Schizosaccharomyces pombe: one gene and its partners. The gene in region 1 interacts genetically with each later gene. Each region holds a gene or a part of one and is shown on either strand. Other genes may lie near its edges. The genes, in order: pfl5, pfl9 and mbx2.

Region 1 (12,882 bases):
CTTGAGCAGGAGATGGAAGCTATGAAAATGCTTAAACCACTCCGTATTACTCAGCCAGAGGGTGTAAATTTTCGTATTAAAGGACGCTATATCGAATGGCAGAACTTTTGTTTTCACATTGGGTTCAACTATAGAGAGGGAATTGTTTTGTCAGACGTAGTTTTTAATGAGGATGGGCACCTTCGCCCTCTTTTTTATCGAATTTCGCTTACTGAAATGGCGGTTCCTTTTGGGGCAAAAGGACATTCGCATCACCGAAAGCATGCATATGATTTAGGGGAATATGGTGTAGGATACCGAACAAATCCTTTGTCTTTTACTTGCGGTTGTGAAGGTGTTATTCATTACATGGATGCTGATTTTGTTAATTATCGTGGTGAAATAACAACTATAAAAAATGCAATTAGCATCCATGAAGAGGATGACGGTGTGCTTTTTAAGTATTCTGATCTCAGGGATCGCAATGCAAATATTTCAGCTAGAAGTATTAAGTTGGTAGTCTCACAAGTATTTACTGCTGCCAACTATGAATACCTTGTTTACTGGATTTTCCGCATGGATGGAGTTATCGAATGTGAAATCAGACTAACTGGAATTTTGAATACGAACGCCATAAATGAAGATGAAGACTTAAAAGGTCATGGAACACAAGTATATCCAAAGATCAGCGCTGAAAATCATGAGCACTTATTTTGCCTTCGAATCAACCCAATGCTTGATGGTTTAAGGAATTCAGTTGCTACAGTGGATGCATTAAGGGATAAGAATGGTACTCTAGTATCAAAATATATTATTCCAGAGACAGTAACTGAAGCAATCAGCAACTATGATTCATCTACCGGTAGGACCTGGGATATCTGTAATTTGAATAAGTTACATCCGTATTCTGGGAAACCTGTATCATATAAGCTTATTTCTCGAGACACATCGCCTGTACTCTCGCAACCCGGTACTACGAATTCTGATTGTTCAGGTTTTGCTGAAAATAATATTTACGTAACTCCTTACATGGACGACCAAATCTTCCCAACTGGTGATTATGCTCCCCAAGCCTCTGATGATACGCCTAAGGGGTTATCTAAATGGATATCCGATGATCCAAATGCACAAATTAAGAATACCGATATCGTCGTTTGGCACACTTTTGGTATGATCCATTTTCCAGCTCCGGAAGATTTTCCAATTATGCCTGCCGAGTCTATTCACCTTTTTTTACAACCTCGCAATTTTTTTAAACATAATCCCGCTCTTGATACATCCTCTTCCGTAAATTCTACTTCTGAAGCAACAAGCCCCAACACTCACCATGAGAATTTGAGGGATACTTCTCAAAAAAGAGAAAGTCATAGCACTCCTCATGACTATGAACCTCATGTATCCGATAAAAATGATAAAAGCGTTGAGGATAAGCTTCATTTCGTCCAAAAAGACGAAAGCAGGCCGAAAGAGCCTGTTGTTGATGCTGCCCAAAAACACGAAGGTCGCAGCGAAACACTAGCACAACCGGGTCAGCAAAATGCTAACCAGTCAGAGGAGAAGCAAGGAGGTCAAAACGGTTCAAATGGAGGTCATCACCATCATCATCACCACCATTATATTACTGGTCATGTTTATGGAGGATATCATAAGCATTCTGGTAGTGGAGGCCACTTGGTCGACATGATGAAAAATATCAGTGATGTTACTCATGATTTTGCTATGGGAAATTTTAGATATCATAAGTATGATTAAATTAGATGAACGAAAATAGCTCATAATCTGCATATTATTTGTATAAAGAAGCTTTTTGAGCAACTGTGGGGTACATATTACACCCGAATCTAAGTTTTTATTTAGTAATTAATGGGATTATGAATTGTTAATTCTTTAAATTAACTAAATTTGGTAATTGTTTTATTGCGCGATAAAATGGAAATGTTATTATCATGAAGGCTCATGAAAAGGACTCCTAAATGTCGTTTGGTAAGTTGTAATTAAATACAACGAAATACCAAATATTTTGTGAAAGCAACCTCACATTTAAACCTCTTTTAATATAAAAGTCATGAAAAGTTCTCTGGCGGTTATTTCATTTCATTCCTAAGTGTATTTGAACATTCCGATATGCTGCTTATTCGTCATTTATTTAATTGAATAATTGTTAACTAGCGAATGGGAAAATACTTTGCATTTTACAAAAAATTTGGGTGATATTTGAAAGAATGAAACGTCAAATCTAGAAACTGTGAATGTCCATTTTTTGTAAATTTTTATTATTAAATCACTGCTCGGAAAAGCAGAGTTCATGAATGGTGTATACACACAGCAGTAAGTCCTGTATCAAAACTTCACTAAATAAATCATTGCCTAACAATTGAGCAAAAGATTGTGAATATTATTATAAGAAAAATAGAAAATGGTTAAGCTACATAAAATCCGTTTTGAAAAAAGAAAAACGTGGTATTAAATATAACATAACGAATAAAATTAAGATTAAAACATATCCATATGCAAGTTAAACATACAACAGTTTAAGTTTTTAACCAACTGCCGAGAAAAAAGACAAAAAAACAAATAATTTACAAAACTGTGGTATAGAATCTAAGTAAACCACACAGACATCCATCAAAAAAAAATGATGTGACAAAGTTAAGCTGCTGTTATAATTGGTAGCATATTATAAGCAAAGAAGAACAAATTGATGCTTACATGCTTAAGCTAACTAACAAACATTCCAACAATAGTCAGAAGCATCCGTTTGGGAATTGCCTTGATTATCGTAATTATTGCACCCGGTAATATAATCATAGGATTTTTGATAGCTCCATGTATTACATTCAGACATGTCAGTAACACCAGCACTACACCAATCATACTGAATTTGGAAATGAGGCATGCAAATATAGCTACCTGTGCTTGTACCTTGAACAGTTACCGTTGAAGTCCAGCTGCCAGGATTAGAAATGTTGTCCACTTTAGAGTTGTATGAGTACAAGAGATAGGTTTGAGATAATCCCAATATCTTTAATTCACTCAATGATTTTTTCGACATAGTCGAAGAAGTAGTGAACTGAACTGTAGCATCGTACATATTGTTACCCTTCGGTGTGACACTAATTACCCTAATGTCAGCGGGAGGAAAGTTCACATTTTTAGAATGAAAATTAAAATTTAGATTTGGACACTCAGCAAACGGAGTAGAAGAACAAGCAGGAGCAGTTGGAGAAACAACAATTACGCTTCCAGATCTCGTACCAGTAGCGGGAACAGTAGTAGTAAACCAAGAAGTACCAGAACCCGTAGTCGAAGTTACCGTACCAGCAGTAGGTACTACGATCTCAACAGTTCCTGAGGTCGTACCTTGAGCAGGGATAGTCGAGGTAAACGGAATAGATCCGGAAACAATAGTCTCTGTGACGGTACCAGCGGTAGGTTCAACCACCTCAACAGTTCCTGATGTTGTACCTTGAGCAGGGAATGTGGAAGTATACCCAACAGAACCTGATATTATGGTCTCAGTAACGGTACCAGCGGTAGGTTCAACCACCTCAACAGTTCCTGATGTCGTACCTTGAGCAGGGATAGTCGAGGTAAACGGAATAGATCCGGAAACAATAGTCTCTGTGACGGTACCAGCGGTAGGTGCAACAATCTCAACAGTTCCTGATGTTGTACCTTGAGCAGGGAATGTGGAAGTATACCCAACAGAACCTGATATTATAGTCTCAGTAACGGTACCAGCGGTAGGTTCAACCACCTCAACAGTTCCTGATGTCGTACCTTGAGCAGGGATAGTCGAGGTAAACGGAATAGATCCGGAAACAATAGTCTCTGTGACGGTACCAGCGGTAGGTGCAACAATCTCAACAGTTCCTGATGTTGTACCTTGAGCAGGGAATGTGGAAGTATACCCAACAGAACCTGATATTATGGTCTCAGTAACGGTACCAGCGGTAGGTTCAACCACCTCAACAGTTCCTGATGTTGTACCTTGAGCAGGGAATGTGGAAGTATACCCAACAGAACCTGATATTATGGTCTCAGTAACGGTACCAGCGGTAGGTTCAACCACCTCAACAGTTCCTGATGTCGTACCTTGAGCAGGGATAGTCGAGGTAAACGGAATAGATCCGGAAACAATAGTCTCTGTGACGGTACCAGCAGTGGGTTCAACAACTATGACAGCACCAGACGAAGTGTCATGAGCAGTAATCGTTGACATAAAAGAAACTGACCCCGAAATAACAGTCTCAGTAACGGTTCCCGCAGTGGGTTCAACTACTTCCACGGTGCCAGAGGTAGTCCCACTAGCAGGGAACGTGGAAGTATATCCAACAGAACCAGAAACAATGGTCTCTGTAATAGTTCCAGCAGTGGGTTCAACTACTTCCACGGTACCAGAGGTAGTTCCATTAGCTGGGAATGTGGAAGTAAAAGTTTTAGAACCAGAAACAATGGTCTCTGTAATAGTTCCAGCAGTGGGTTCGACTACTTCCACGGTACCAGAGGTAGTTCCATTAGCTGGGAATGTGGAAGTAAATGCTTTAGAACCTGACACTATGGTCTCAGTGATAGTTCCAGCAGTGGGTTCAACCACCTCTACAGTGCCAGAGGTAGTTCCACTAGCAGGGAACGTGGAAGTATATCCAACAGAACCAGAAACAATGGTCTCAGTAACAGTTCCAGCAGTGGGTTCAACCACCTCTACAGTGCCAGAGGTAGTTCCACTAGCAGGGAACGTGGAAGTATATCCAACAGAACCAGAAACAATGGTCTCAGTAACAGTTCCAGCAGTGGGTTCAACCACCTCTACAGTGCCAGAGGTAGTTCCACTAGCAGGGAACGTGGAAGTATATCCAACAGAACCAGAAACAATGGTCTCTGTAATAGTTCCAGCAGTGGGTTCAACTACTTCCACGGTACCAGAGGTAGTTCCATTAGCTGGGAATGTGGAAGTAAATGCTTTAGAACCTGACACTATGGTCTCAGTGATAGTTCCAGCAGTGGGTTCAACCACCTCTACAGTGCCAGAGGTAGTTCCACTAGCAGGGAACGTGGAAGTAAAAGTTTTAGAACCAGAAACAATGGTCTCTGTAATAGTTCCAGCAGTGGGTTCAACTACTTCCACGGTACCAGAGGTAGTTCCATTAGCTGGGAATGTCGAAGTATATCCAACAGAACCAGAAACAATGGTCTCTGTAATAGTTCCAGCAGTGGGTTCAACTACTTCCACGGTACCAGAGGTAGTTCCATTAGCTGGGAATGTGGAAGTAAAAGTTTTAGAACCAGAAACAATGGTCTTTGTAATAGTTCCAGCAGTGGGTTCGACTACTTCCACGGTACCAGAGGTAGTTCCATTAGCTGGGAATGTGGAAGTAAATGCTTTAGAACCTGACACTATGGTCTCAGTGATAGTTCCAGCAGTGGGTTCAACCACCTCTACAGTGCCAGAGGTAGTTCCACTAGCAGGGAACGTGGAAGTATATCCAACAGAACCAGAAACAATGGTCTCAGTAACAGTTCCAGCAGTGGGTTCAACCACCTCTACAGTGCCAGAGGTAGTTCCATTAGCTGGGAATGTCGAAGTATATCCAACAGAACCAGAAACAATAGTCTCAGTGATAGTTCCAGCAGTGGGTTCAACTACTTCCACGGTACCAGAGGTAGTTCCATTAGCTGGGAATGTCGAAGTATATCCAACAGAACCAGAAACAATAGTCTCAGTGATAGTTCCAGCAGTGGGTTCAACTACTTCCACGGTACCAGAGGTAGTTCCATTAGCTGGGAATGTCGAAGTATATCCAACAGAACCAGAAACAATAGTCTCAGTGATAGTTCCAGCAGTGGGTTCAACCACCTCTACAGTGCCAGAGGTAGTTCCACTAGCAGGAAACGTGGAAGTATATCCAACAGAACCAGAAACAATCGTCTCAGTAATAGTTCCAGCAGTGGGTGAAGTTGTTTTTGACAATGACGCGCTAGTATCATTTATGGAGACTGTACTTAGAGTGCTTATTGTTGAGTGTGGTAGAATAGATAAGTCAATTGTAGAATTGGGGAGGTAGGTGGAGGTGTAGGTACTGTAAATAAGAGTATGGCTTTGGTTGTTGTAGCTAGTTGTTGGAATAATTAATTCAGTAGTTCCATTGATAGTATCTGTAATTGGCAGGGAGTTTGTGTTAGAATAACTGTTGGTTGTCGTTCCATTGGTTAAGGAGACTTGTGTGGTATTAGTGTTTTGTGGTGTAGCTGTTTGCGAAGGCTTGGAAATGGAAGTATTAGTATGTATTAAAGGTTGTGATGATATTGTCAATGTTGAGTAGTTTCCGGTGCATTGACTGTTTGTTATAGTAATTAAGGTAGTATATACACTTGCGTTGCTAAAGGAGTGCGTGTATGGCAACGTTGAAGTATATTCACTAGGGCCGTCACTGTAAATTGTTGTGTATTGTGAACATTCATTTGGCAAGTTTAAATCAAGAAATCCTTGTACATTTCTGTTCCATACTTTTGCAGTAGCCTTCCCAATATGAGCAAAGATAGCGAGAAAAATAAGATCTGTAAACACTAGCATGAAGTTGTGATGAGCTGCAAATTCCCAAATATAATGGCACAAGCACTTCTTTTATTTTTGTATATGAGCAAGTAAGTAATGCAACTTCAGACTCCATTTTTTCCAATTACCGACTGCCCGGTTTAAAATTTTGATAGTCCTCTGTCGGGAAAACATAGTGGCACAATACCTGTAATAAACAATCGGGGTATAGTAGACATTCAGCATCAATATTAGGACACGAGCTACTGTTACTTTTATATGAACAAATTGAACAGCTAACAAAAAAGGCATGAATTATACAAACATTTTTAGAGTACTTGTGTGTATGTATAAATTTATGTTTGCATATTTTGCTGATTGCAAAAAGCATATTTCAAAGAGCGCTACTAAATTCTCCCCTCCAAAAGTTTAATATCAAACGTTAAGATAGATAATAAAAAAATTCAAAAATTTACAAGCACGACCCTTTGATAGTTCAATTTCAGAAAAAAACATTACGTTGAAGTAAGAGTAAACTCAGGTTTTTCGTAACTACCGTATGTTGGTATGTCAGTTCGGATTCAAACCGTCAGTATAAAAATAGGAATAGGGATGGATTAACAATCAGATTACGGTATAACATCGCAAGCTATCGACAAATGCAGCTCATTCAATAATGTGCCTACCATACTAGAGTTACTTAAATTTTTTCTGTACGAATATATTTGTGGAATACATTATTTTTTTCTCAATGTATACAAAATAAGGAAAGGAATGTAAAAACGTATATCAAATACTAATCTAGCGTTGTTACGGTATCGTTAGGGTTTTGCAATTGGGACAACTTTAATCTAACTTGAGTAAGGTTAACGTTATTTTGTTAGCGAGATTATAACCCAGAAGAAAGCCAATATCTTCAGTTTTCAAATCTAAAGGCATTTCATCACATGAAGATTGAATTATATATTTTACTAAAGCAAATTATTTTTACCTTTAATTTAATTAAGCACCTTAGGAAAATAATAGAAGTTAGATTTACATTTGCATAAACTGAATTAAACCTAATTACAAATTTTTGTCTACTTGATTACTGTTAACCGCAATTTCCGGTGGTAACGTTACGTTAAAAACTCCGTTCATGAAAATAGAAATAAAACGCACAGCATTACAAAGCTAAGAATACGGATTATTAGGATGGAAGCAGAAATCAAGGGGTAAACGGCAAAACTCAATAAAAAATTTTCTTCTTTCATGGAAAATTTGGCTTGCAAAGCTACACCATATTTCAACGACTAATAGTCTCATTAGCTGAATGATTTAACCGCTATACTGCTTCCTTTAGATGATAAATATAATGCTAACTCAGTCATTAGATTTTAAGCTTTATGCTATATGTTTTATCACCTTCGACGCAATAGTAATGATATTATTAATTTTTTATTTATTTATTTTTTATTTTACGAATGTAATTTATAATAATGCTTTAAGAATTTATTAGAAACACAAATTTTTTTTTTTTTTTTTTTTTTTAATTTTATGAACAAAATACTTATTTGCGTTTTCTCCGTGAATGAAGAATTTTCTATATTGAAGGCAGATCCCATCAATTTTAGATGCGAAGCCGGTAAAATTAATTCCAAATAATATTCTTTGAAGAGTTTGTTAGCATGATGTTTTGTAAAAGATATATTCAAAATCTCTTGCTAAACATCATCTGTATTTGTTGTACTGTAAATCTAGTAAATAATTATTGGGTATGCCGTTCACAGCAAAAAGCTGTTGTTTTGTTTACGCAGTACTTTTAAAAGTTTGAACACAATTGGCTATCTTTAGTAGCACTACAATAGCTAAAAACTTATAGCTATCGTGGTGCAGAGAACGAATGGCTTATAGAAGTTAAAGCTCCTACTCTATAAAACGTAAAATGGCAACGTTTTTAACCTTTTTTTCTATGATTCTTCCATTTCTTCTAATTATACTACAAGTAAAAAATTTATGCAACATTTATAGATGTGGAAAAATTTCGAATCTTAGTCATAGTGCGCGATGTGACAAAACCCTTCCGAGCATGTTTCGTATAACGTCGGCAAATTCAGATTTCGATGCATAACTTTTAGTGTTTTCGGCACGTTAAAGTTTCACTATATGATTCTGTAACCCATCTATCAGTGTCTATTCAGAATCCACCACTGCCATTACTTTTTTTGTGAATTTAACATAAGTGAAGTTAATTAACCGCGTTTTACGGCTGGTAATCAGCCACTTAGAAATCTATTATAATAACGATTGCCCTCCCTTGATCACAACATTTTTTTTGGAAGGGGAGAAATATAATGAATCCCTCATAGAAACTTTTAAAAATGCAAAAGATCAAGTGCGTTACTGTATAGAAAGTGTAAGCTACACAGTTTGGTATCTGATTTAAGGATACGTAGAACTGCGGTGAGTTTTCCTTGTGATCTATTATATTACAATACACAGGTTGTATAAGTAGCAACTGAGTATAGGTATTGTATTAACTGGGTTATAATGTTACCTATCACTAATATAGCTCATAACTGAACTGAGGAACGAGGTTCAGCAGTAGCTCTATTTATAGTATTCAGATAATATTGATCTTAATAGATTATCATTAAGATCAATCTCCATATCGTATCATACATGGTACGATATATAATTAGAACATGTGACATATAGTGATACTCAACGTAGTGTATTATAGCGTAGTGTAGTATTGCTGACATTGCCCTCCCCAAGATTTTCTATGTAAATCTGAGGATAAGTCATATGTTCTCAGATATTTAGATTATTGTTTTTAATATAATCATTGACAATTGCTTTGTCCGCTTGTAGCGCTGTAGCTAATGTAGTCCATCCTGACATAATAGTACTCGGATTTAGATTCGAAATGTACTTGACATTTAAGTAGAGTACTTGTTCTCTGTTTTTATGTTCTAGGATATGAAGAATTGTTCCAATATCAGACTCATCAATGGTAGCGTAATTGAGTTCTGAATTATGTCGATACTTTTCTAGGTGAGAAACATGAAAAGTAGATGAAAACATGTGCTTGATTGAATCTGGAAGATCCAATTCATAGTTGTTTGGACCCGACTTCTGTAACACATAGAACGGTCCTGCAAAACTAGGTGCTAATTTATTGGATTTATGAAGAAAACCTGTTTTCGTTCTTTTGACCATAACTAGGTCTCCAGGTTGAAATTCTTCAATTTCTTGTATTTTCATATCGAAATACTTTTTCATCTTTATGTTGTTTGTATTCAAGTGTTCTTTAACTGTTTGAAATACTTGGATCGTTTCCTGAGAGTTTTCGTCAGTTTTGTCACTAAAGCTAGGTAACTCTAAAGGTGATAAAGCTGGTGAATAGCGATGTACTATCTCAAAAGGTGTCATTTGAGTTGCTGAATGTATCGCATTGTTGTAAGATTGTTGCACTAGGGATATATGATCTACCCATGTATTTGGATGTGTGCTACATACACATCTTAGTAATTTCTCCACAGTTTGGTTTGTACGCTCAGTTTGTCCATCAGTTTGTGGTCTGTATGGTAACGAAAATTTCATAACGAAATTATATTTATGTGCGAAATCTTTCCACGTTTGGGAAGTAAAAATATGATCATTATCTGCAATGATTTCTTTTGGATTGCCGAAATAAGCAATAACTCGTTGATCAAACATTCGAGCTGTTTGCTCTGCTGTAATGGATTTCGTACAAGGTACTAAGATTGCCATTTTTGAAAATCGGTCAACTACCACGAAAAGTGCATTATAACCAGATGATTCTGGTAAAGCTGTAATAAAATCCATTGATAAAGATTCCCAAGGTCTTTCTGATGGGGGAATTGGTTGTAAAGGTCCATAAGGTTTATGATTCCTAGATTTGTTTATTTGACATGTATGGCAGTTCTGTACATATTCTTGTATTTGTTTTCTTATTCCTTTCCACGTAAATCTACGTAATATAATGTTTGTAAGAAGTTCAATGCCTGGATGAATCAATTTACCTTCTTCATGATACTTTTTAATAATTGTCCTAGTCAGCTGAGTATCATTAGGTAATAAGATTTGGTCTTTACTGTTAATTAGTAAGCCATCTTTGAGTTGGATATTCTCTTCTACTCGTTTGTCTTCATTGTTTAGTAAATTCAACAATTTTGTATCATTCGTATATTCTGTAACCACTTGGTTTTTAAAATCATCGGTTATCGAGATTTGATTAACAAAGTTGATACTATTGTCTTCTGAATCTTTTGGAATTGGTTCTGTTTCGTCAACAATTCTGGATAAGGCATCAGCTATGTGATTTGCTGATCCAGGTCTGTAGTTAATTTCAAAGTTGAAGTCTTGTAAAAATAATTGCCAACGAGCTAAACGTTTGTTTTCAGGCTCGGATTCGTTAGTAATGCGACCAATTAAGTTTCGATGGTCTGTTAAAATTTTGAAAGGTTCGATAGTGGATTCTAAATAGTGTCTCCAATGTTTGAGAGACTTAATGATTGCAAGCATTTCTTTGTCCGATACGCTATAATTTAATTGTGCTTTAGACATCTTTGCTGAATAGTATCCAACAGGATAGTATTTATCATCATCATGTTTTTGAGACAATACGGCTCCTACAGCGACATCTGAAGCATCAGTTTCTAGTAGAATCTTTTTACTGAAATCAAAGTGTCGTAGCACCGGAGGAGAAACTAAACATTGTTTAATGTTTTCTATCGCTTGGGTTTGTGTTGGTGTCCATTTCCAGCGTACATCCTTTTTCAAAAGATTATTGAGTGGATGTGTTAATTGTGATGTCTTTGGAATGAATTTCCTAAGATAATTGACAGAACCTAGAAATTGTCGTAATTCTTTACGATTCTTAGGTTGCTTCCATTGTAAGACTTTGTCTATATTTTCTTGACAAGGCGTAAATCCTTTTTCCGAAATGTGATACCCTATAAATTTTACTTGTGATTGATGAAATTCACATTTTGCTTGATTGATAATTAAGTTCGCATTTTTTAATTTCTGTAGAACGTCTTTAACATGTTTTACATGTTCAGATTCCGATTTTGAATGAATTAAAATATTATCCATATAACATACTACATGCGATTCTTTGACTTCACCAAGTATTGTATTGATAAAGTATTGAAAATGTGCTGGAGCTATAGATATGCCATAAGGCATTACTAGATATTCAAAAACTCCACGAGGACAGCGAAAAGCAAGTTTATGTTCATCTCCTTTTCTTACTCGTATCAAGTGATAGGCACTTTTGAGGTCAAGTTTAGTAAAAATTGTAGAACCTTGTATTTTAGCAAGTAATTGTTCAATAAGTGGTAACGGATATATATTGGGTTTGACATACTTATTTAAAGGTTTGTAGTCAACCACCATTCTCAAGGTGCCTTCCTTTTTCGGAACGAACATTACTGGACAGGCGTTAATGGCTTTAGATTCTCGTATAATTCCACTTTTTAATCCTTGATTAATTTCATCATTCATAGCTTGCATTTTTCCCGGTGGTAGCGGGTAATTTCTGATAGGTAATCTGTAGTTTTCTTGAGTTAGTTCAACTTCAAATTCTAACCCTTTTATTGGCTTTGGTAGCTTTTCCGTATTGGTTTCTGCAGTAATGTCTTTGAATTCTTTATAGATATCTGGTAACTCAGGTTCCTTGACAATATTTGAAACTTTGTTCATTTGAGAGAGCGTGTGTTTACTGCTAGATATTTCAATGTTATTGTCATATAATGTTGTGAAGGAGATAGCAGCTGGATGCGAAAATTTCTTTACAACCAAGAATTCTGTTTTGATTGATATTCCATTTAGACTTATGTTAAGTTTTATTGTTTTGCGATTAATCTTATTTGGATAAACTCCACCATATATCACACTTTTTGACCAGGGTCTGGTAGGCAGTTTATGTGCTCGAACAGTTTCTTCTGTTATAATATTTGCTTGAGTGCCCGTATCGATTAGACAGGGTATTGAGCACTTGAAGTCTGGAAGTTCAGCTTGTAATACCATTTCGTAACGTTTCCTAGTATGATTTAGGAATTTGTTAGATGAGTATTCTATTCTCGAAATATTTGTCTTCCTCAGGTTTCTGCTATTAGTGGTGTTATTTTTCTTTGGAAGGAACTCTTTTCCTAGATTTTTATTTTGCGGTTGAAAACGCTTGTGAGTTTTACCATACGAGGCTGTTCTTTTGTCCTCTAAAAAGTCATAAATTTCACTGATTTCCGATTTCCAGTAATTTCTTTCCTTTAATTTCCTTAAGGAATATGGCAGCATCCATAATATAAACAAGCGAGTATGGAAATCATCAACATTTGCCTTTGACATGAGTTTCCTTA
Region 2 (10,000 bases), on another chromosome or scaffold:
TTTTTTTTATTTTGTGTGCTAATATTAATGGCAAACGGTATATACTCTTTTGCAAAATATATTTTGCTTTGGATTTTCTTAACCATAACGAACGAAAAACTTAAAACATTATTATGTAATGAGCAAGGAAACTTTATAAAAAAAGTTAAAAGTTGTTGAGGGTGAATTGTAAGGCGACGTACTTTAAACGTGACTTTTTTCAATACTAATTGTATAAAAAGTTGCCGGTCCTTAAGCAAACCAAACCCCAAGTGAATTGATGTGTTGATTTCAAATGAGTAGCCTATTTCAAAGCACCTTGCTGCGTTATCACTAATATGATTATAAATCTATTCCGATTAAACAGAACACCAATAATAGTATGTCTAATACATTATTTATTTTCGAAATATTTATCAAAGCAGAGTATTTCATTTGATAAATTCCTGTTTTTGGTTTTCGAAAATTAATAACTGATAAATGGTGATTTTTCGTTACCGTAACACATTGGTGCTCCTATTATTATATGTTAGTGCTTCAAAGTTTAAAACCAAATTTTGCATTAACAGTTTTTCTTACCTGAATACTAGTGCTCACATTTGTTTATAGCATTTGCAACTATTATGGCTTACACATTTTTAAGAACTACGTTTGAAAATTACTTTTATTTTGTTTTATTTTTTAATTGTTCGTTTTAAAAACTATTGTCCTTAGTGCTGATTATGCCATGTTTCTATATCAAGTGCTCATACCTGAGCTTCTAGCAGCATTGATTCCCTTTTTAATGTTCATTCTATATAAAAATCAAAATCGATTTCTTGTTTCGAATAATCGATTGTAACTTCGAGACCACACCATTTGCTATTTTAGGTTAAACAGAATTTGATATAAGGAAGAAGCAGTTTTCCCTTCAAGTTCGGCATGGCTTGTGATGGAAGGAAAATTTATCCGTTATTTTTGAAATAGTACATTCCTTTAATTAGTGGGATAGAAAATGATGGACGAGGCATGCCTTTGGAAGGCATCTTATATCATACTTGAAATACATATATCTTGGCAGGATCTTTAGGAGTTGTACATGTAATTTGAACTAAAATGGATTGTGCTTTATTTACGTTTTTGTATAAAAATACGATGCATGTCAGCACAATTTGCAAATACGTTTTACTTCCAACCGCGCATGCAAGATGGAATATATGATGCTCTGCAAAAAACAATTGTCAAAAACCATAGTCTTTTAAGTCATAATATAATTATTAGGGAGCTATGGAGCAAAAAAAAAGAATTATAATCAGGTAACTATATGATTATTTGTTGTCGATTTATAAAAAGACATTTGTAATCTTTTGTTAAGCCGAAATGTTTATTAAAAATTTTATAGATAAACTATCCGTTTTAAGATCATTTTTATATGAGAATAATCTTTAGTAAGACTATTTTTTTATAAAAAAAAGCTTTGAAAAAACCGTCAAGAGTTTAGCTAGATGACTGATTTATAGAATATATCTAACATAAGAAAAAATCCTTCATTTTTCGTAAGTATTTTATGATATGACTTATTTTTCAATAACAGAATTAACTTTGTTTTAACAATACATCACTGCTTACATGCGAGCTTCACAAAGCAAGTATTCGTCTTTTTTCTGCGAATTTCATTCGATTAAAGAAGTGAACTATACATTGTTGAGTTCACCGACCCTAACCCTAGACAAAGGAATTGGGTAACATACATTGATTATTGTGTTTTATACCCTATCAAAATTGTTTGAGTAACTTGAAGTGTAAAATGAATAAAAGATAAATTGGTAATAACTTGCTTTAGTGTATTTCAGGCCGATTTAAGTAAGTTTTTAATAGTGTCAAACCAAGTTTGCTCACCCGAGGGTGTTCTGTGGGAATCTGCTTTGTTTTTTAATAGATTATATAGTTTGGTTTGTAAGGGTTTATGAACGCTAAACAATATACCGTTTGTACCTAGCGGGTAGGTATCACACGCCGTTCCCGTGGGTCCAGATGACAGAAGTGACGGGACTGCTAAATATAGCGGATCGTTTTTTAACGATGAACCTTTTTCTTATCCGAATTTCGAGCTAAACAGCTAGGTATTAGGATTTAGTGAAGTTTCAATCTTTGGACGTACTTTAACGGGAACACAATTGAATTATGGATTACAGTGGGATACTTAAGTTCAAGCTTTGAGAAAACGAGGAAAGGCGTTAATCCTTTGTATTGACAATAAGAAGTGATGCTCAAGAAATAAGTTTTAATGCTAAGTTGATTGAACTGGTCAATTAATATTTGATAAATTTTTTCAATCTTATTGTAATTTGATGCATTAAGGTTCGTATAAACAGCTTTTCGATAGTTTGTGAAATAAAATGCAGAAGTACTCAGTAGTCTGTTACAGAATTTATGTTTTTGGTGTTATTTGAAGACAAAACCTTAATGGATTCGTTTTATACCTGTAAATATACTATCCAATTCTATCAAACGTACTTAAAAACAAATACCGATTCATAGAATTTGTTACGATGAAATATTTCTAATAATAGTATACTAATTGCAAATAATTTACCAGGTCCAAAGTCATTGATCTGGACTATATTGACATTCCAAATATTAATAGTATGTCTTAGCGTATATAAAAATTAAGAAGACTTCAACGCTAAGTATGGATTCAGCTCTTTATTTTGTTATAAAAAAATAACTCAATGCTAAACAATAAAATAGCCGAGCAGTTTTCAATTAAGAATTGTCTAGCGAAATTTCATTAAACAACCTAAATCATATGGAGTTTTTTTCTTTTTTGATATTTGGCTCAGGCAAAGAAGAAAAGTTAAGAGTGGTATTTCTTAATAAATTAATGTCTCAAAAAAGGAATAAATTTTTTTTTTAAAATGCTAAATTTTAAACGTCCTCAGTTGCATAGATGAACTTTAAATGATAAGCGAACGAAATGCAATCGATAAATCATTGTCTCTTAGTAAAGTGTTCGGTTAAAATGACTGACATTTCGTCCGAAATAATATCAGTGTAAATATCATGGGAAAATTTCGTGTATTTCTTTATTTGGAATGCGCAGCAAAGTATCAAGAGAATAATTAGTGTTTTATATGATTTAATTTTATTGCCGGTACAATTGTATGGTTGTTCTGATAAATATACATGCTTTGTCGGTTTATCACTCTGAATAAATTTGTGATATATATTGGTTTATTTATTCAATCTATGTATCATGTAGTTGATGCTTTCATTTTTTTCATAATTTTAAAAATATCAGTTAATCATTTATTCAGCAACTGTAACGTTAAATCATTAATATATATATCTATATCGGCATGCATTAAGTTGCTACCGTTAAACATCTTAATTAAAACTAGTCTTTTATAATAACTAACTCTTTAATTTTTTGAAATTAGTTCAATTTACTGTGGAGGGCAGTCGATTGATAAAAGCTTTTCGATTCACTTGTAGCTTTAATCGGTGCTCGTTGCATCAATATTGGTTTATATAAGCCAAAGCTTTCATGGCTATTAATGAGTGATGCCGGTTTAACTACTCTAAAATGTTTTGAAAATGATAGGTATGTTTTGATTTGCTTCATCTTTTTATTTCAGTATTAACAACCTAGTAATTAAAATGTTAACAAAAAAATTTGACTACCTTTTCGAATCACATGTTTTCAGTGCTAAGTTGCCTCCAGACTGTCTGCAGTGAGTATAGGTGTTTTATAAGAAATTTGCTACATAGTATCAAATCAATAATATGAATGTAGTTTTATCAAAAAAATATTCATTAAGGCGACTGTACTGAAAGAGAAGTAGGTTAATAATAGACTCTTAAGAAAATTAACGAGAGGCGTCAATTTCTGTTGCTAGCATATATTGCGAACTCGATCGGTATGTGAATTACTACGAAAACATGCGAGCCGCGTTAACAAATGTGCATTGCCTTGTCTTAAAGTAACTAAGTTTCTCAGAAGCAGTATAAATAGTAGACTACATTAATTTCGAAGTTCCGATAATGATCTTTTTATAGAACTCAAATTTTTTAATTTGATATTGAGAATTCGAATAAAAATAACTATGGGATTAACAATAAGGGGGTTTCCGAAATTTTGGGTACTGGTTTTATATGCGCAGTTTTTGTATAAATGAACAGGCCTTCTCACACGTCTTTTCGGTTCATATTTAGCGATCAGAAGTCGTTAAAAATTTTTCTCCTATAAACAATGAATGTGGTGAAGTACATAATTTTTAGCTTTGCTCTGGCGCCTTTGTTATTAGTTAACGCGAACACATATAATTTTACACAGATACAAAAGCGAAGCGTAAACCAAGCTGTTCTTGAATCAAGTCAAGATACCAATTCAGTAGGCGGTGAAGCTTCTTCAACAGCTTGCCCTTTATTCACTACTATTTACACTAATGGTATAACACCGGGAACTACAACGATTTATCCAACATCTATCTCGACATCTGGCGTATCTAGCAACAATATCGATGAAACTTCGGTATCCTCTGAGTCTATCATCACATCCACTATTACGACTACTATAACATCTGGTTCGCAACTCTATACTACTACCATTACCGGTCAAAACACACCTGTTGATACCGTTGAAGTGGTAATCCCTACTGCTGGTACTTTCACAACTACATTGACTTCTGGATCCAGTTATCCTGTCGCAACAACTACAGTGCGAACAGCTTCTGGAACACAGTCAGGTGAAGTGGAGGTTATCACACCGTCCTGTGGATGCAGTCCTGAAAATTCATTCCATCTTAAAATAGACAATGATAAAATCAGCCCTTCCTACGTGTACATGGATCCAAACGCACCCGTGAGAACTAATGGTGCCGGTCGAGAGGGGAATATGTTTGCTTCAACTAATGGAGACAACGAGGGACTAAACCTTTTCTACTATGATTCCACTATTCAACGAGTATTAACATGTGATTGTCAAAGACCGTCTTACACTGTATACATTGAAGATCCAATTATAGGCAATGGTTTTTCAAGTGCTTGGAATCTCATTAAAAATAGCGATGGCATATTTACTCCTGTTGAATCAAGAAATAATGAGCCACTACACTTTCATGTAGATAACAATGGAAGAGTATGGATGACTTCACAAGAATATGATACAGAAGTTTCATCAACCGACGAAAGAAATTTTAGGGCCAATGATGTTACACTTCAACTGTATTAGTTGAAGCAGCAAATTTAGAATTGCACATACTCTCGTTTAATTTTTTGTATTTCAGGTCATACATATAATTTTTTTTACATTCATTTGATATAATATTTTAAAATTACAATCCATGAAATCCTTTATCAATCCCTATTGAAGATGTCAAGAAGTTGACTTCCTCGGATTTCATATTTTTCTCAAGTTCTGCTGTAAACTGAAAATAGGGATATTTAAATAGTTCTTAATTATTTTTTCCACTAGAAATTGATTGCTCTACTAATAAAATACTGTTCCAAGTTATCGGCACAATTATTACTTTCGTAAACAAAATTTGTATTTTATTTATTTTTTTTTTTTTTAAATTAATCATAACTAGTGGTATTAGGAATGCATATTTTAATCTAAGTTCAAATTAATTGCTTTCATAGTAATCATTGATATTTGTTAAATAACTAGGTTTAGGTAAACCGTACTAAAATTGAACAGGAAAGGATAAATTTTAGTAAATTTTGTAGATTATGCTTTTCGTAAAAAATAGTGGTGGCCGGTTTTAAAGATAAGTTTGGATAAACTGGTTATAATTTCCTTAAGTGAAATTTAATCACTTAAAAAAATATTAGATCTAAATAGTAACTATAGACAAGTTTTGTATAAGGAAAATGACAATTAAAGATAAGGAGCTAGACTAGTCTAGCGCTTGTTTTGAGTTTAATATTAGACCATTCAGAATTTTTTTACTCATTATTACTAAAAAAGAAAACTTAAGCAAGAATTTAAATTGTGGAAAGTCTCTTTTACTTATTAATAATTGTAAGCAATAAGGATAAGAAAATCAAAACAGTTTTTTTTAAAAATGTTTCTAAATTTAAAAAAAAATCTAAACCATATGCTGCGTTGCCTGTAAATAGTGTATCTAGGTCGGATGAGATTATTGTTTTCAACTTTATTTCTTCGTTTTGTAAGAAATGAACTATATTGTTGTAGAAATAGAATAACGTTACTAATCTCTTGAATATGGGTTAAAAAACAAAATTCACAATAATTAGAAAATTTTTTACCTTTTTATAGTTTTACCCAATTATTTACTAAAAATTATTGTAGCAACTATTTTAAATAGTAAATGGTGGATTTTCTATCAAGCAGTAGGTAAATTATTGCAGCATAATACTGAACAAAAGTTTTCATTTCATTTTCAAGTACTCACGAAATTTTTATTGAATTGAAAGAAAACTATTTTGTATATGAAAGGCGCTAAAAAATTATATCTTCATTATCACTTTTGATTCAAGAGACTAATACTAATTTGCTTATTTATTTGCGATTACTGATTCATCAAGACTATTAGTATAGAAATCGGACGCACTCTTCAATGTGGTATGTGCAATGGAACAGAGAGCTTCTGTAGTAAAAAACGCCTGATGTGAGGTAACCAAAACGTTTGGAAAATTAACAAGACGTTGAAACGTAGAATCCTTTATTACTTCGTTAGAAAGATCCTTATAAAATAAGTTTCTTTCACCTTCATATACATCTATTGCACAACCTCCGACTTGGCCGGAGTCGATGGCGTCAACCAACGCTTTCGTATCAATTAAACCTCCTCTACTAGTGTTCACAATTGTTACTCCCTTTTTCATTAAAGCTAGGGAGTCAGAATTCACAATGTGCGTTGTACTGGGCGTTAATGGGCAATGGAGGCATAAAAAGTCAGCCTTCTTTAAAACCTCATTTTGCTCAACAAATTGAACTCCATAGTTTTCTAACTTCTTATCCGGATTGATATCGTAAGCTAATACATCGCAACCAAAACCCATTTTAAAACATTTTGCAACATTACTCCCGATTTTCCCAGTACCAATCACTCCCACTGTTTTACCATGTATGTCACATCCAAGTAGTCCGACAATATTGAAGTCATCTTCACGCACCCGAACATAGGCACGATGAATTTTACGATTAAGAGACAAGAGTAAACCAACAGTGAATTCAGACACAGCAAAAGGCGAATAGGAGGGGACGTGCACAACAGTTATTTTATATTCGGACGCTGCCTTTAGATTAACGTTGTTGTACCCCCCACAACGAAGAGCGACCAACTTAACACCATTTTCTGCCAAAGCTTTTAAAGTATCAGCATCTACTTGGTCGTTCACAAACACACACACCACCTGTGCTTTGCCTGCCAAAGAAACTGTATCTTTGTTCAATGAAAAATTGTGATATATTATTTCATGGTTAAAAGTTTTGTTAGCTTCTTCAAAAGGCCCTCTATCGTATGATTGACTACTAAAAAGGACAACACGCATTGTTGGAAGCAAAGGGGTAAAATGTTATGAATAGAGGAAATAAAAGTTAAAAGCTGAGAGATACTATAAATAGTTGTTCAGCGTTCGCAATGAAGTTCTTATGAATGATATTAATCAACCTAATCTTTGGAAACTTATTACATTTAGAAATTTAATTTGCCCACGAGAATATAGTCGATATTTGTTATAATATTTTTAATACGTCAACGGTATGTAATATATCTATAGTATTGCAGTGATGAAAGTGTTCTGTAATAAATGATAAAATTAATTTATTATTGCAAAGTAATATATTGATTATTTAAATTTCTTTTTATCTTTTTAAACAACCATATGATCCTAGGTGTATTTCAGAAACTATGGGGTAACTAGGTGCAATATTTTTTATTTTTTATTGTCGCCACGCAAGTCGCATATCAACTATTAATGATAATTTGAATGGTCTTGCATATACAAATTAATTGGTGATTTGATGTTTTAAGACTTAGTAAGCCATACAATAATAAGAAGTCGATTGAATTTCTAAAAGTTTAATCACTATTATAGGTGCATCGACGCGATGCTTATGTTCATAAAAAAAATTGAAATTGCTGTCAACAACAATGCATAAACAAACTATTTGTTAATTTCAGTATAGGAAAAAAAATAAAGTTTTCGAACATATTTTGGAATTGCGGATTATTTTAACTGAAAGACGAAAAAAAATGTAAAAATAATCTAAAAACGTCTGTGGTGCATATTTTGATTTTAATACATCTTTCGTCACTTCAACAAGCACTGCAAAACTGATGAAATTCTTTGATGCTTCAGTTCTTCATGGCTCAAGCCACTCAAACAAGCTTTCTGAATAAAAAAAAGGTTGTAAAAAAACCGACGACGTCTGAATAAGCGGTAACTAAATATGAATTTTCACGAATTTATAGAGAATACCTTGGTTATTCCGAGTTTTAACAGAACTTTGTGTCAGTGCTATATTTGTTTTTATACATAAATTAAGAGGGACGATGATTTACTTATAATATAGAACATTGCCAAAAATAAAAAATTTAGTTGGATTTAAATATCCTTCGGACACAAATCCATGTTACTTTCGTAGTTGTAAACAATCAATCATACCGTCATTATGTAATAGTACGAAGAAGTACCAGAATTTTTTAAATTATCAGCAACTAGCACCTGTGGTCATTTTAATCTGATGATAGTTTATTCTAATATATTTTGTCTATAAAATTATGATTTGGTATGCCGCAGTTCGTATAAAGCAAGTACCGGTTATCTGATATATGCGGCGGCAACTAGTAATATATATAACTACCTTAAAAAAATGTAGCAAAAGAGTAAAATCGTGACGAAATTGTTTTCACTAATATTAACAGTAAACATCATATGTTAATATGTTAGTGGATTTCGTTAGTTGCTTTAGATTCCTGCTATAAACGCCCTTATAATCTAAAATGTAAAAATACCAATATCAAATTCCTGTTGACTGTACGTAGTGAATGTGGACATTTCTCGTATAATATTGTTGCACAATTTTATTTTAACTTTCGTTCGTCTACTATCAAAGTTATACTTCAATTGATAGTGAGGTATTCATTTTTTTTGGATGAAAGAACCATGTTTGTTGAGTAAACTTATATGTTTAACTTATCATTATTTTTTAATTTCATAATTACAATAGTTTAAACAAAAAGAAAAAAGAAGGAATAAATTTTTTAAATATAATTCCTATTTTTTTAGTTATTTAAGCTTTTACCGCTTACTAATTTGTTTATTCAAAGGATGATAATGATTATCTGAATTCCCTATGCTCCTTTAGAAATTATCCGGTTATTATAATATACAAATGTGTATCAATTTATTTGTTTGCGGTACACAAAATCATTAACACAGTCTTTCAAAATATCTGAATAGTTATGTAAGTCATCTATCCCTCATCATAATTTCATTATTAGATTGAGCCTGAAACACTTGCTTAAAAATATTTTTATTCATTTCTGCTTTTTACTGTTTGCTGGCAGTTTTTCTAAGATTGAAAATTAGAAATTCAATTGGTCCTTCATCAATTACGTTAAGGTTTTTCTTTTTATTCGTTTTAGAGCTTTTATGTAATGATTACCCTGGACGTTCCTTATGACAAGCGAATACCATAGAAACTTTATGTTAGTCTCCTGTAATATAATCTTATCGAAAAAGTATTGATTACGCACCTTTGAATATTTCTTAACGGATTTTTATGCTATTGTTTGTCAATCCCCAGCTTTACCGTTGCTTATCACAAACTGTTTTCTTTCTAGCCATAAAAATTTTATACATTGAGGATTAATTCTCCTGTGTGGATCAATAATTGTTGATTTATTTCTTATACAATTAACACGAATAATTCTGTCCGCATTGTCCATTTTGTTGCAGACAAGTTTGTAGATCTGTCGCTGTCCTATGAAACCGGCTTATTAAAAAAAACAGCTTTAAACATCCAACTATGGTCTTTGCATTAAGTCTACAGAAATAACGTTGCAGG
Region 3 (10,829 bases), 790 kb from region 1:
TTGCGCGTTGCTAATTGCAAATTACTAACACAGCTAAAGATTTTGTTTTCAATTGCAAAACATGTTTGCCGATCCCGGAAAACTAGTTTTTACTAGCAAGGTTCAGTCATTCCATCTCAGCACTTTCTCAGGATCAAACCAATAAGGAAAAAAAGCAAGCCACATTAATACATAATTCGGATCTACACATTTCCAACGAATCACATAATTTGTAATGTCTCAAACTGAATCAACGCAACGAAAAATTTCTGTTTGCAATTCATATAAAGTTCCAACAGTACCACTCCCCACCTAGGTAACCCATGTCGCAGCCAAATAAAGAGCTATGCATGTCGGTGGTACATGTTCGTGTCCTGTTTCATCATTACAACGACCTCAACGTCAAATGTGCTACTAGATAACAAACGCTGGGCTACATAACCTCGCTAACAGAGGTACACTAGAAAAACATTGACCAAGTTGCGAAATAACACCCCACATCCCCTAAATCTTTATTAAGATCATGTGCATAAAAAGGCCTCGACACCACAATTGGGAAGGGGATAATTGGGGTCGGAAAACGAGATTCTTTTATTTATACGAGCGTATTCCTATAAGCAAGTGACTTGCCTGCTTTGTTCAAAGTCGTGAGACACCTATAAGTTTGGGGGGAACGGCATGAGAGTAATGCTTGTGTGTAGTAGCGTATAAGTTAAAAACTTTCTTCGTTTGGAAAGTTTGAATCACCATTAGATTCCTCAACGGTCACTACACTCACGAGGAGAGAAAAGACACTTACTTGTTCGTTGACCATTACATTAATCAAGCCTCTTCGTATGTCTCAAATACAGCATTCCAGAAAAAATACACCAGTGCTATTCTGGTGTTTAATTGTCTTTATTGGATTGACGTAGGGAAAAGCATAAAATTTTTTTTCACCATATTAGCGAGGAAACCATGAAATCTATAAAAATGTATCCCAAACACTTTTGCAATTTTTGCTTGTTTTTGTGATCGTTAAGACTGTCATTTTTCCCGCTTAAAAAGGCTCAAAAAGTGTTTATTGATTATATGAAATTTTGGACTTGTTCGACCCATGATGGAGGGAAAGCTCTTGAAAGCTAGAAAAAATTGGTACTCGACTTTTCTAGTGCTTGCTCTGATTCCTATAATTCTATTTGAGACAATTGAAATGATATAATGATCAAAAAGGTTTTGTTGAACAATAAAAAGCAAAAAATTGCTTTCCATGTGTTAAAAGAAGCCGAGAAGGCTGCGAAAATTTAGTCGGACCTTTTCAGTTTTCGCGTGTATATTTACACTCTTTGAGACAATCGGAGTTCTAAAAAAGGACCAAATTTATAGACTACTTGCATTGTATCACTTAAATCAAAAATTCGCTCCCTCGTTCTCTGTGCTAACCGTTCATAAGAAGTTCATCTTTTTCCTGCTATACCTATAAAGATTAGACGATGCTTATTCTCATGGATATCCGCAGCCCTTCCAAATCAGCATGCAAACATCCACTACCCTTACCATTCTTTTGAATCGCTTGCCTTTTAAACGAGTATTGAGATGGAATAATATTCTCTACATGCTCGCTTCTGCGTCCTGATATTTGAAATGATTTGTTGGATTATTCTGAGACTTCTTATTACAATTGGATACTTTAGAAGTATCCAATTAATTTGTTTTAGAAAAAGTGATAATCATTTGGGAGTTGTGCTATTATAAAAGAAAGAGATTCTTTGCTTAGTGTTGTGCTCTAAGCAAATTGAAAAAGCTGAAATGGCCAGGGGCTGCTAGTTTCTTGTATGCAGCAAAGTTGCACCACCTTATGCGAGATTTACTGACTTTCCGATCGGAATTTTTAGGAACACTTTGGTCTCGATTATCGCTATCTTTGTAACTGTCTAACAAACATTTCTGTTTTTTTAACAAGGTTGCGACAATTCTTTTTGCATTGGTTGCATTCCTGTTGACCAATGCATTTACTTTTTCGCGCAAAATCTAAATCCGAGTATTGTAAATTCACTTGCTAAGCCGTTGTCTATTGTTTTTATTCGCATTAAATTTGCAGTTTAATTGCCTTATATCCCTAATTTGCGTCTTTTAGTAAGACCCACGCCATTCTTTTTGCAATATTTTATTTTCTATTTTCGTTCCCATTAAATAATGTTAAACTGCCCTACGAAATTTCCAATTTGTTTTCCCAGCATCCAGATGCCTCTACTTAATACTTTTATCACCTTTCGTCAGTTGTTTTGTACCTGAAAGACATAGCCTTACGTTACTTGTGATCATCTTTTTGGTAATTATCCCACAGGGTAAAAAGTTTGCATAATTGTCGCTTTACGACAATTTATTACTTTTGTTTGTTCTGGAAGTCTTTATAATTGTTCTAAGTTAAGCCGGTGGTCGCAACAGACGTTTTAATTGGATAATGCGAGGTTTTATTCCCAAAATACAAACAGACTTGTCTGTCATAAAATAAGTTAAAATGATTTGTCAAATAGAGGATCAATTCTCAAATATTTGCCAAATCAGTCTCTAATTTATTTGAAGTGAGAAACTTGATTGCCTATGTCAGCATCCCACGATGGTCATTTTTGATACAGCGACTGAGTTTTATGCGGTTGATTCATGTTCCATCGTTTGCATAACATTGGTAATCTTTTATATCTTCTTCATCTTCTTATACTAAAGAATTTCATTTATTTGTTTGGATGTCCTAAGCCACGTATATAATAATATGTTACAGAAACTCAGGTTTCTGTTAACATAATTTCGCATGAAGCCAAATTCCTATTCCACCTTCTTTGAAGAGTGCTACCATGCTCATTCCGCCATATAAAATTAGCTGCTGCATTACTCCCCTGCATCTTACCTTTGAAGCTGGACGGTTATCGCTACGCTACACTTACACACCGACATACTAACAAACACTTAAACATTACTCTGTAAAACTACACGGAAAGTTCGAATTTCTCATGTTATTGTTGAAAACTGTAATTAGGGGTTTGAAAAAGGTTCTGTGAATCGTCAAACGTTCTTGATTAAAAAGGAGAAACCGTGAAAAATCTAGCAAAAAATCGAGTCAAACACACGAAAATAAACCATGTATAACCTTGAAAACGAATGAGAAACGTCTAATTAGAAATTAGCGGCTCCAAAAAAAAATTTGAATGCGAACATAAAGGTTGGTCCGCGAATGTTACATGTTGGTGAATTAATTAATGAAGTGGAAGGAGGTGGTTAAAACAAAATCACGAAAAAACTTAGTCCACTTGAATAGACAAAATGCGTGCCTGAATAAATAAGTGATAAACTGCCCGCAGTTTGCAAATAAATATTTAAACCGAAAATCACCATCTTGAATTCATAACAGGGAGGATCCAAAATACCGAAGATGGAAGTTAACAAAGTTAAACCATTGGCACATCTGAAATGTTCAGGTATTTGTATTTGCTAGCGTCTGAAATCATGCTAGGTTTGTAGTTCACATTGAATCCATAAGCTATCGGTAGGTGTCCATTTTATTGAACAACATTCCAAACTTCAATTATTGCTAGGTCAGTAATTTCGTTCGCGTAATTCAACTATAACGATAAATTGATAGACCTAGTATTAACAATTGTTTACTGGAATGCGATGTAAGTCAAATTAAAAAAATGGGCATCGCACAGCTTGGCAGTAAACTATTGGTGCTTGGATTGCTCCAAATCATATGCAGTTTGAGTAAGAAAACGATTGTAAGGATTTGATCGAGATGTATGCCAACTAAAATTATTACTTGTATACGATTCATTAGATCCAGGGAGGACACATGATGAAGACATTTGAAAGGGAGATTGACTTCTATGATATTCTTTAGTATTTGACATCACTGAGTGAATGTGGACTAATGGAAGCTACGTCTTGGAAGGATGATTCAGCTTCTTGATTCGTTAAGGAAGGAGAGCGATCATATGCCAAAAATGGAGTATTCGCAATGGTATGTTGAGAAGTCTCACAACTGCTACCCGAATACGCAGTAGGCGGAATAGGTGAGCCTTGTTTAACATCAAACATCTCAGGCGTTAGCTGTGGATTTGGATGTTCATAGAGAAAAGGAGGGCAAGCCGGGTTACCAGGAGAGACATTTTTTAAGGTGTATTGATTAGGTGAAGAAAGATAACTTGCTGGAGGCATAAGGACCTTCTGATCATAGGTGGACTGGTCTTGTTGCAGTACATGAGTACCCAGATAAGTTGGAACTTGTTTCAAAGAAGGAGACGTAGCTCTTTGTGGATAGTAGTAAGGAGCGAAGTGCGTTTGCCTACGATGACCAGGAAAGCCGTTATCACTAGGGTACGGAGAATGATGTTGCAATGGAACTGTAGCACCCGGAGACACAGGAGATTGGAAACAATAGGGCGGTGGATAGTTATTGTTATGAAAATGAGGATGAGGTGGATGATGAGGAGGACGAGTATGGGGATGATGATGTTGTGTGGGAGGAAATGGAGGACAAGAACGAACGTGATTAGACGATAAAGGCTCGGGACGACAGTAAGACTGAACTTGAGGATTATAGTCCTGAACAGTCGTTTCCGATGTTGCAGGAGAATCACCAGTGTCGAGTTGGGAGTCTGATAAAGGTTGGTCCTGTGACTTCAAATGCTTATTATTAAGAGGAGTAAATGAACCAGTTGTCGTTTCTGGAGACACGGTACTTGACTCTTCGACAGGCGATGACGAAAAATGAGAACGGTTTTTTAACTCATATATGCTGAGAGTGTTGAGTTGTTGAAGAGTACGTTGATAGTCAGAGGAACAAAAGACGTGCAAACGTCCTTTCCGATCAATGACTGTGACGGCGACTTCACAATCGGCTAGCACAGCGAGTTCATACGCCTTTTTGTAGAGACCTTGTTTTCGTTTGACAAAAGTTACGCTCCTTGAACGATCGTCGGTTATGGGTGCAATGGAGATTTTTTTGCGCCCCATATTAGACGTTGTATATATTTAGTAAGGTTTGACGAGAAAAGAGAAAAAGAGTCGACGAGGTTAACCAAAATTCAGGTATAGGGAGAATGACGAAAACAAACGAGCAAACGAGCGAGCAAACGGGCAAGTATATAAGGAACAAATAGAAAACAGCAGATGGGGTTTATTCTTGGAATTTATGTAACAGTTTTTATCCCTGTCTTCCCTTCTCTGCACCGGATCTCTTGAGGGTAGATTTTTCGCTTGAGAAAACAAGAGCGCAAAGTTCTCCAATTGTGCTCGTAATTGATAGTCGATTAGACGAATCTAAGTTGAGATTTAAAAACGAGGAAGCTATTTTTGTTTTTGTACTCTGGGTTGAAGCGGGCGACGAAACTAAAGATATTAATAGAAAAAATTTTTTTAGTAAACAAGATAGCCGGAACGGGTGGTTTTCAAGTGTTTACAAATGAGAGGAACAAAGACAAATTAAATGACTAGATGTTTTTGTGTGCTATTTTTAAAATAGAAAGAGGAAGAATCAACACTTTGGAGAAATTTTTGCCTTTGAAGCTATATTTTTAACAATTGTCCCCTCCTTTTCAATGTCAGGTTTAAAAATATCTTCTCGCCAAGTTTTATAAATAAATTAATCTGTCTCAACAACTTGAAATTATAAAATTAGGTATTTGTTTGTTGTCTGTGTGCGTTTATAAGTGCGTGTAAATACGTGTTTTTGTACATATATATGTGTATATATATACAGGGATAGCAATAACTAGGAAACCGCAACGTCTATTTAATGCAACCTTCGTAATACACACTGCGTTCTAACTTAGACAAGTATCGACGCCAGCATCGTAACATACCATTGTACATATTTATGCAAAAGAAAATAAATTCCAATAGTGAACGAAAAAAATTTTCTCTTTCCCTCCATAGGCAATTGTTAAGGGATAGGTTTTTCCTGCATAAGTACACCAAAATTAGGGGCTAAATGTCTTCCATTCACGTTTATCCGAAGATGCGTAGCACTTTGCCAACATTACCGATGAATTCTCAATATACAAACGCGTATAAGTGTACATTATGTTCCTCATGTAGACATTCTGAAAATTCACCGTTTCGGCTACTCGGGTAATTTAAACTATTTCTTCATCTCTCTTTTCGAAAAGGGGAGGTCACAAGGCCGAATACTTTTTCATGAAAAAGGTGGGATAGCCTCGATTAAATGAGCCCTAAGTAGGAAAATCCTTTAATTGGAGGAGGAAGATGGACATAATGGAAAGAAGGTTAGAAGGTACCTTTTGAGTATGGTTAAAGTCCACTTGGATTGCAAACCTGACTTTGCAGTAATAGTAGAAAAAAATAGAAAGAAAGCGGGATTAGCAATTATTAGGAAAGAATCATAGTAATCCCATGCACCTAATCCAAGGTTTTGGAAAGGGGATTTTATTTTTAGACGCGATAGTCAGGCAAAGCGTATGGGCCAGCCAAAATACTTGGCAAGGCTAAAGAAAGAATCGAAGAGATAGAAAGATACGAAAATTCGGAATGCGCTGATGATCGCGTTTAGGGATTTTCGTATGTAATCCTTCACTTTTCAACCAGTCAGTCAATTGGAAACGCTGACCCTATTACTGATGCAGTGTACGATACTCAATTCAAAGGGGAAAGGGGGAGGAGGGCGTGAAGGAACAATATTACGAGTGTTGTCTCCGCTCCTTGACTATACTTAGACACACAAGTCCGAAAATAGACTCGCTCTGATTTTGCTTTTCGTAACTTGCTCTATTAATAAATGTATCCGGTAAGAATGGGGTACAATACGAATACAGTACATTGGGAAAAAATAACCAGAGAGGTAGCTTATGAGTAATTTGATTTCGCAATGAATCGACCGTTACGACCTGCTTATACTTTAGTATAGCTAGACGAAGTAGTTTGGATTAGACTTTAGGAGTAGTCCTATCTGGCGACTGACATACTTTCGTTGCGATATAGTTTACGTGCGCAACCATTCGCGAGGAGGCTGAATATTGACTTGAGCCTCGTTATTGCTTATACCACTCATTCAAAGTCGTCTACACTCGTGCTAACACTGCATCCGCCTATCATTTTCAGCACTTGTTACGAAAAGGCAAACCATTCGATGTTTCTCATCTACCTCTCTACATGATTGCTTAGGAGTACGGGAAGGAATTGGGGGAAACTAGGGTTGAACGATGAACTTGACAAATTCTCATCATTTTTAATCGGTCGTTAAGTGTTACGATTGGGGCAACATGTTTTAAACTGTTAGTCAGTGAGTAGAGAGGAGAGTCAACGATGATGTGAATGCATGCCATGACTCATGGAAACAGTGAGAATTTTGGAAATCAAAAAACATCATCGCCACAATCCATCTCTGTCCGCCGTCCCTTTACCTTTGTTTTAATGGACAGCCTCAGTAGTGCTGACTCACGAAATTGACGTGTGCAGCGACTGCTTACCTTGTCCTTCCTTCCTTTCTTCCTCCTTACCTGGGGTATGCCGAATTAGCTTAATCAAGCTAGTGGGACATAAAGGACTTTGATTATGGACTTTTGCCGTATCGGTACTTGAAGCCCGTAAAAGGGCATCTGTCTCGGAACTTTCCGTGGCTCCATGTATAAGAAAACACACATTTGTTTATTTTGTGCACTATATGATGTTTGTCCATATATACCCGTGTAAGCGACAAATCGAATTATGCACAGCTTTGTCTTACATCTATTCGTACTACCCCGTATTACATACCCCGTCTTACATGGTCTACCAAAAGTATGGCTTTATCTCTTAACAGATTCTTTGTTTTCTGTCAGAAAACATTTTTTTTGTTGATATCTGAAAACAGTTTTAACGGAAAACATCATTATTTTTTCTTCGCATTATCGGCCCGTCTAAACATCGGTAGAACCGAGCTTCAAACCAAAACCCCCCATATTAAATGGAATGTGCAGAATACTCCCAGCTTCAAGACAAAATGACTAACGAAATTTTCGAATGTTAAGTACGGATTACTTTTTTTCGGCTAGCACGGGATACATGCAACTCTGGCTGACCTTAAATTCAGTTCTGTACCGTAGCGATAGCATACTACCGAATTAACTTCTTAATCTACGCTTTAGCGAACCCTTCGACGAACTGACCTCGTTAACCCATCCAAGACAGTCTATCTATTCCACCATTTTTAGGATTGCGCTTCTGTAAAGTGTTGAACTTAATCCAAATAAATACCATTTGTTTCAGCACGATTTCAGGATAAATGTGGGCAAACAGCTTAAGGTTTTTAGATTTAAGCTAATTTTTCCTGTTAGCAAAAAAAGAGGCAGTGGTGCTAGAATACCCGAAGGCCGTTTGTCTAAATATGCTATAATTAAAACCAAAAACCATTTTCCTTATGGCTTTTACCACTTCATCTTAATGACCCAAATGCTTTATCTCTTATCTCGGAGAAAAAGTCTTGTATTTTGAATCAATCATGAAAAAGTCAAATATCGTGCTTTTATTTCTGCCTAAATTTCTCGATTCTGACAAAATTAAAAAATATTCCTGTTAGTCGGTCTCATTCAAAATGTTAAGATAACATATCATTTCCCGGTACCCTATTTTATTTTACCGAAAGTCATTCCATTTTAGTAAAGGATTTACCGAAAAAAATCAATGCAACCTGTGGAATACATATTTTGTTGTTTTGATGGAATAAGATTGGGAAACGACTAGCAGCCCTACATTTTTGTTTTATGTCCTGTGAACGTCGGTTGTCCAGAACATTCAACTATCAATTTCTCGCCGTATACTAAAATAGAAAACTTGCTGCAGCGCACCAGTTTAAACAGCTCGGTGGTATAGCTTTCCCTTAGATTAGTTGTTTTTTTTTTTTTAGCAACAATACAGTCAATGCATGGCAATTTTTATTTGCTTTTCAATTTGAGTTTAATAGCATTTAATTAGCTATTTTTCATTCGATGCTATTCTTCTTTATGCAATTCTCGTTTCGAATGCTATAGGCAGTCAAAAAGCACATGGCATATCAATCCAATAGTTAATAAATCGATGCTTAATTTGGTGGAGAAGAATGGTTTAACACAATTGTATGAAATTACTGTAAGAGACATTAAACGGAATCGTAATTACTTTTAAACTAAATATGCCATTCCTCGATACCACCTTTTACCGCCGTCGTAGAACGGCAAATCGATACTTCGCAAAATTCTAAGCATGGTGCAAATGAATTTCCATCTCCATTACGAAATAACTTAGGCTCTTTATAAGGGATCTTCATTAAATGTTATTTTTTTTTACTAAATATTAGCCATGTAACCAGTGGTTTGTTGAGTATACGCTCTCCAAAGTAAAAACAATTTCCTTGTTAAGTCTTCGTATCCTCAGTAATAGTTATAGAATACAAACACAGGTTTTGAGCGTAAAACAACTCCTACTGCAGTGTCTACAAAAAAAAGGGGGTTTTAATGGTTCCCTTAAATGTATTTTTTCCCTGTTAATATGGGAGTACATATTACAGTTTGAAATTGCAACAGCAACATGACGCCCATGTGCTCCTTGCAACATTAACAAACCTCGATTTCCCTTAATAGAATTCTACAGCTCCGGTTTTCCCAGTAAATAGAACTATTTGAATCATGTTTGAAAGGCAGTTATCCAGTTTCCTTGACAGTATAATTTAGTCGGCAAATAGTATTTTTTCGGGTTGATGAAAAGCTAGTTTTGTCAATATTATCCTTTCAAAAGCGAAAATCCACCCCAATTATTCTTTTTTTAGGACCCAGTAGATATATTTTGCGAATCCTTATAATTAGAGAGATATATTGGCTAGTTCCATAAAATCCTATAGCTGTAGTTGCGAAACTATCGGGAATCGAACAACTTTCTGGAGAAGTTGTTTCACTTCAGATTCAAAAAAAAAAAAAAAATCAAGTCGGACATTAAAAGTGTACGGTCTGGAAACAGAAACTCAAATCCATTATTTAGCCTAACCGCGGGTTACTATCAGGCATTGCTAACCAAGTGTAATACCAAGTTCTGCAAAGTAACGAAAGCAGCTGGGAAAAGCATACGCGAAACAGGGAACAAAGAAATTTATTTATATTGTTTCTTCACAAACCATTCTGATGAATGCTGCCCGAAATCGCCTAGCCCCCATTTCTTTCAACTTTGGTCTTAAAGGAGTATTCATCCGAAAAGTTGCAACGTACGATCCTTCTTTTATTTTCCTGACTTGTGAGCTCACCTGATTGAGATATGCAAAGCGGTACAACAAATCATACTGTCGGTTCATTAATCAAGCATGTCAGACGACTTAAATTCAGCCACGTTCCAGATCAGTAAGTTACTTGTACAAGGATTTCTTTTCATACTTTAAAGACTCTTCAAGCGCACGAAAATGGAATCGAAAACGTTGGCAGCACATTAATATAATCAAAAGGACTCAGTTAGTATTAGCCGATTTGCTGCGTTATGTTGCTTCTGAATGAAAGTACAAGAAACTGGAGGCTAATTTATAATGAAGAAACTCTCACAACGTAATATAATTTATTTGATGTGAGTTTTTTCACCGATATACTTTGGCCTCCGCAATAAACTTAAGTAGAAAAATTAGATGTCGATAATAGTGTTATAGTGCTCTTATGCATATATCTTACTAAAGCATCGTGGTGTTCAAACACTATTAAAACAGGAGGCACTGGATCAAGTACCTAAAAACAAAGGATTTCATAACACTTGAACTCGTCACTCCTGAATGTTTAATTCGCGCCAAATACCACTATATTGAAGTTGAAATAAACCAGCCATAGATTCAATTTTTCCCTTATACTTTCTCAAATGTATAGAATAGATTC

What was found.
Region 2: of pfl5 (region 1) and pfl9, changing one enhances a phenotype caused by changing the other (phenotypic enhancement), as found in Schizosaccharomyces pombe (one study listed by BioGRID).
Region 3: of pfl5 (region 1) and mbx2, changing one suppresses a phenotype caused by changing the other (phenotypic suppression), as found in Schizosaccharomyces pombe (one study listed by BioGRID).

The regions. Positions count from the first base shown.
Region 1 is NC_003423.3:4,415,084-4,427,965, reverse strand, and holds pfl5 (glycoprotein), read right to left. Parts: upstream 6,572-12,882; 5' UTR 6,554-6,571; coding exon 2,702-6,553; 3' UTR 2,358-2,701; downstream 1-2,357. Other genes in the region: Cu(2+) amine oxidase-like protein Cao2, read left to right, coding at 1-1,731; Tf2-11 (retrotransposable element/transposon Tf2-type), read right to left, coding at 9,308-12,882.
Region 2 is NC_003424.3:5,523,482-5,533,481, forward strand, and holds pfl9 (DIPSY family glycoprotein), read left to right. Parts: upstream 1-4,210; coding exon 4,211-5,191; 3' UTR 5,192-5,478; downstream 5,479-10,000. Other genes in the region: SPOM_SPAC186.02C (hydroxyacid dehydrogenase), read right to left, coding at 6,481-7,479. UniProt on the Schizosaccharomyces pombe protein: May be involved in agglutination during conjugation or other aspects of colony formation. Induces flocculation when overexpressed.
Region 3 is NC_003423.3:3,620,778-3,631,606, reverse strand, and holds mbx2 (MADS-box transcription factor), read right to left. Parts: upstream 4,969-10,829; coding exon 3,850-4,968; 3' UTR 2,949-3,849; downstream 1-2,948. Other genes in the region: SPOM_SPBP8B7.32 (uncharacterized protein), read right to left, coding at 1,006-1,230. UniProt on the Schizosaccharomyces pombe protein: Acts in transcription regulation. May bind to a MEF2-like typee II promoter sequence.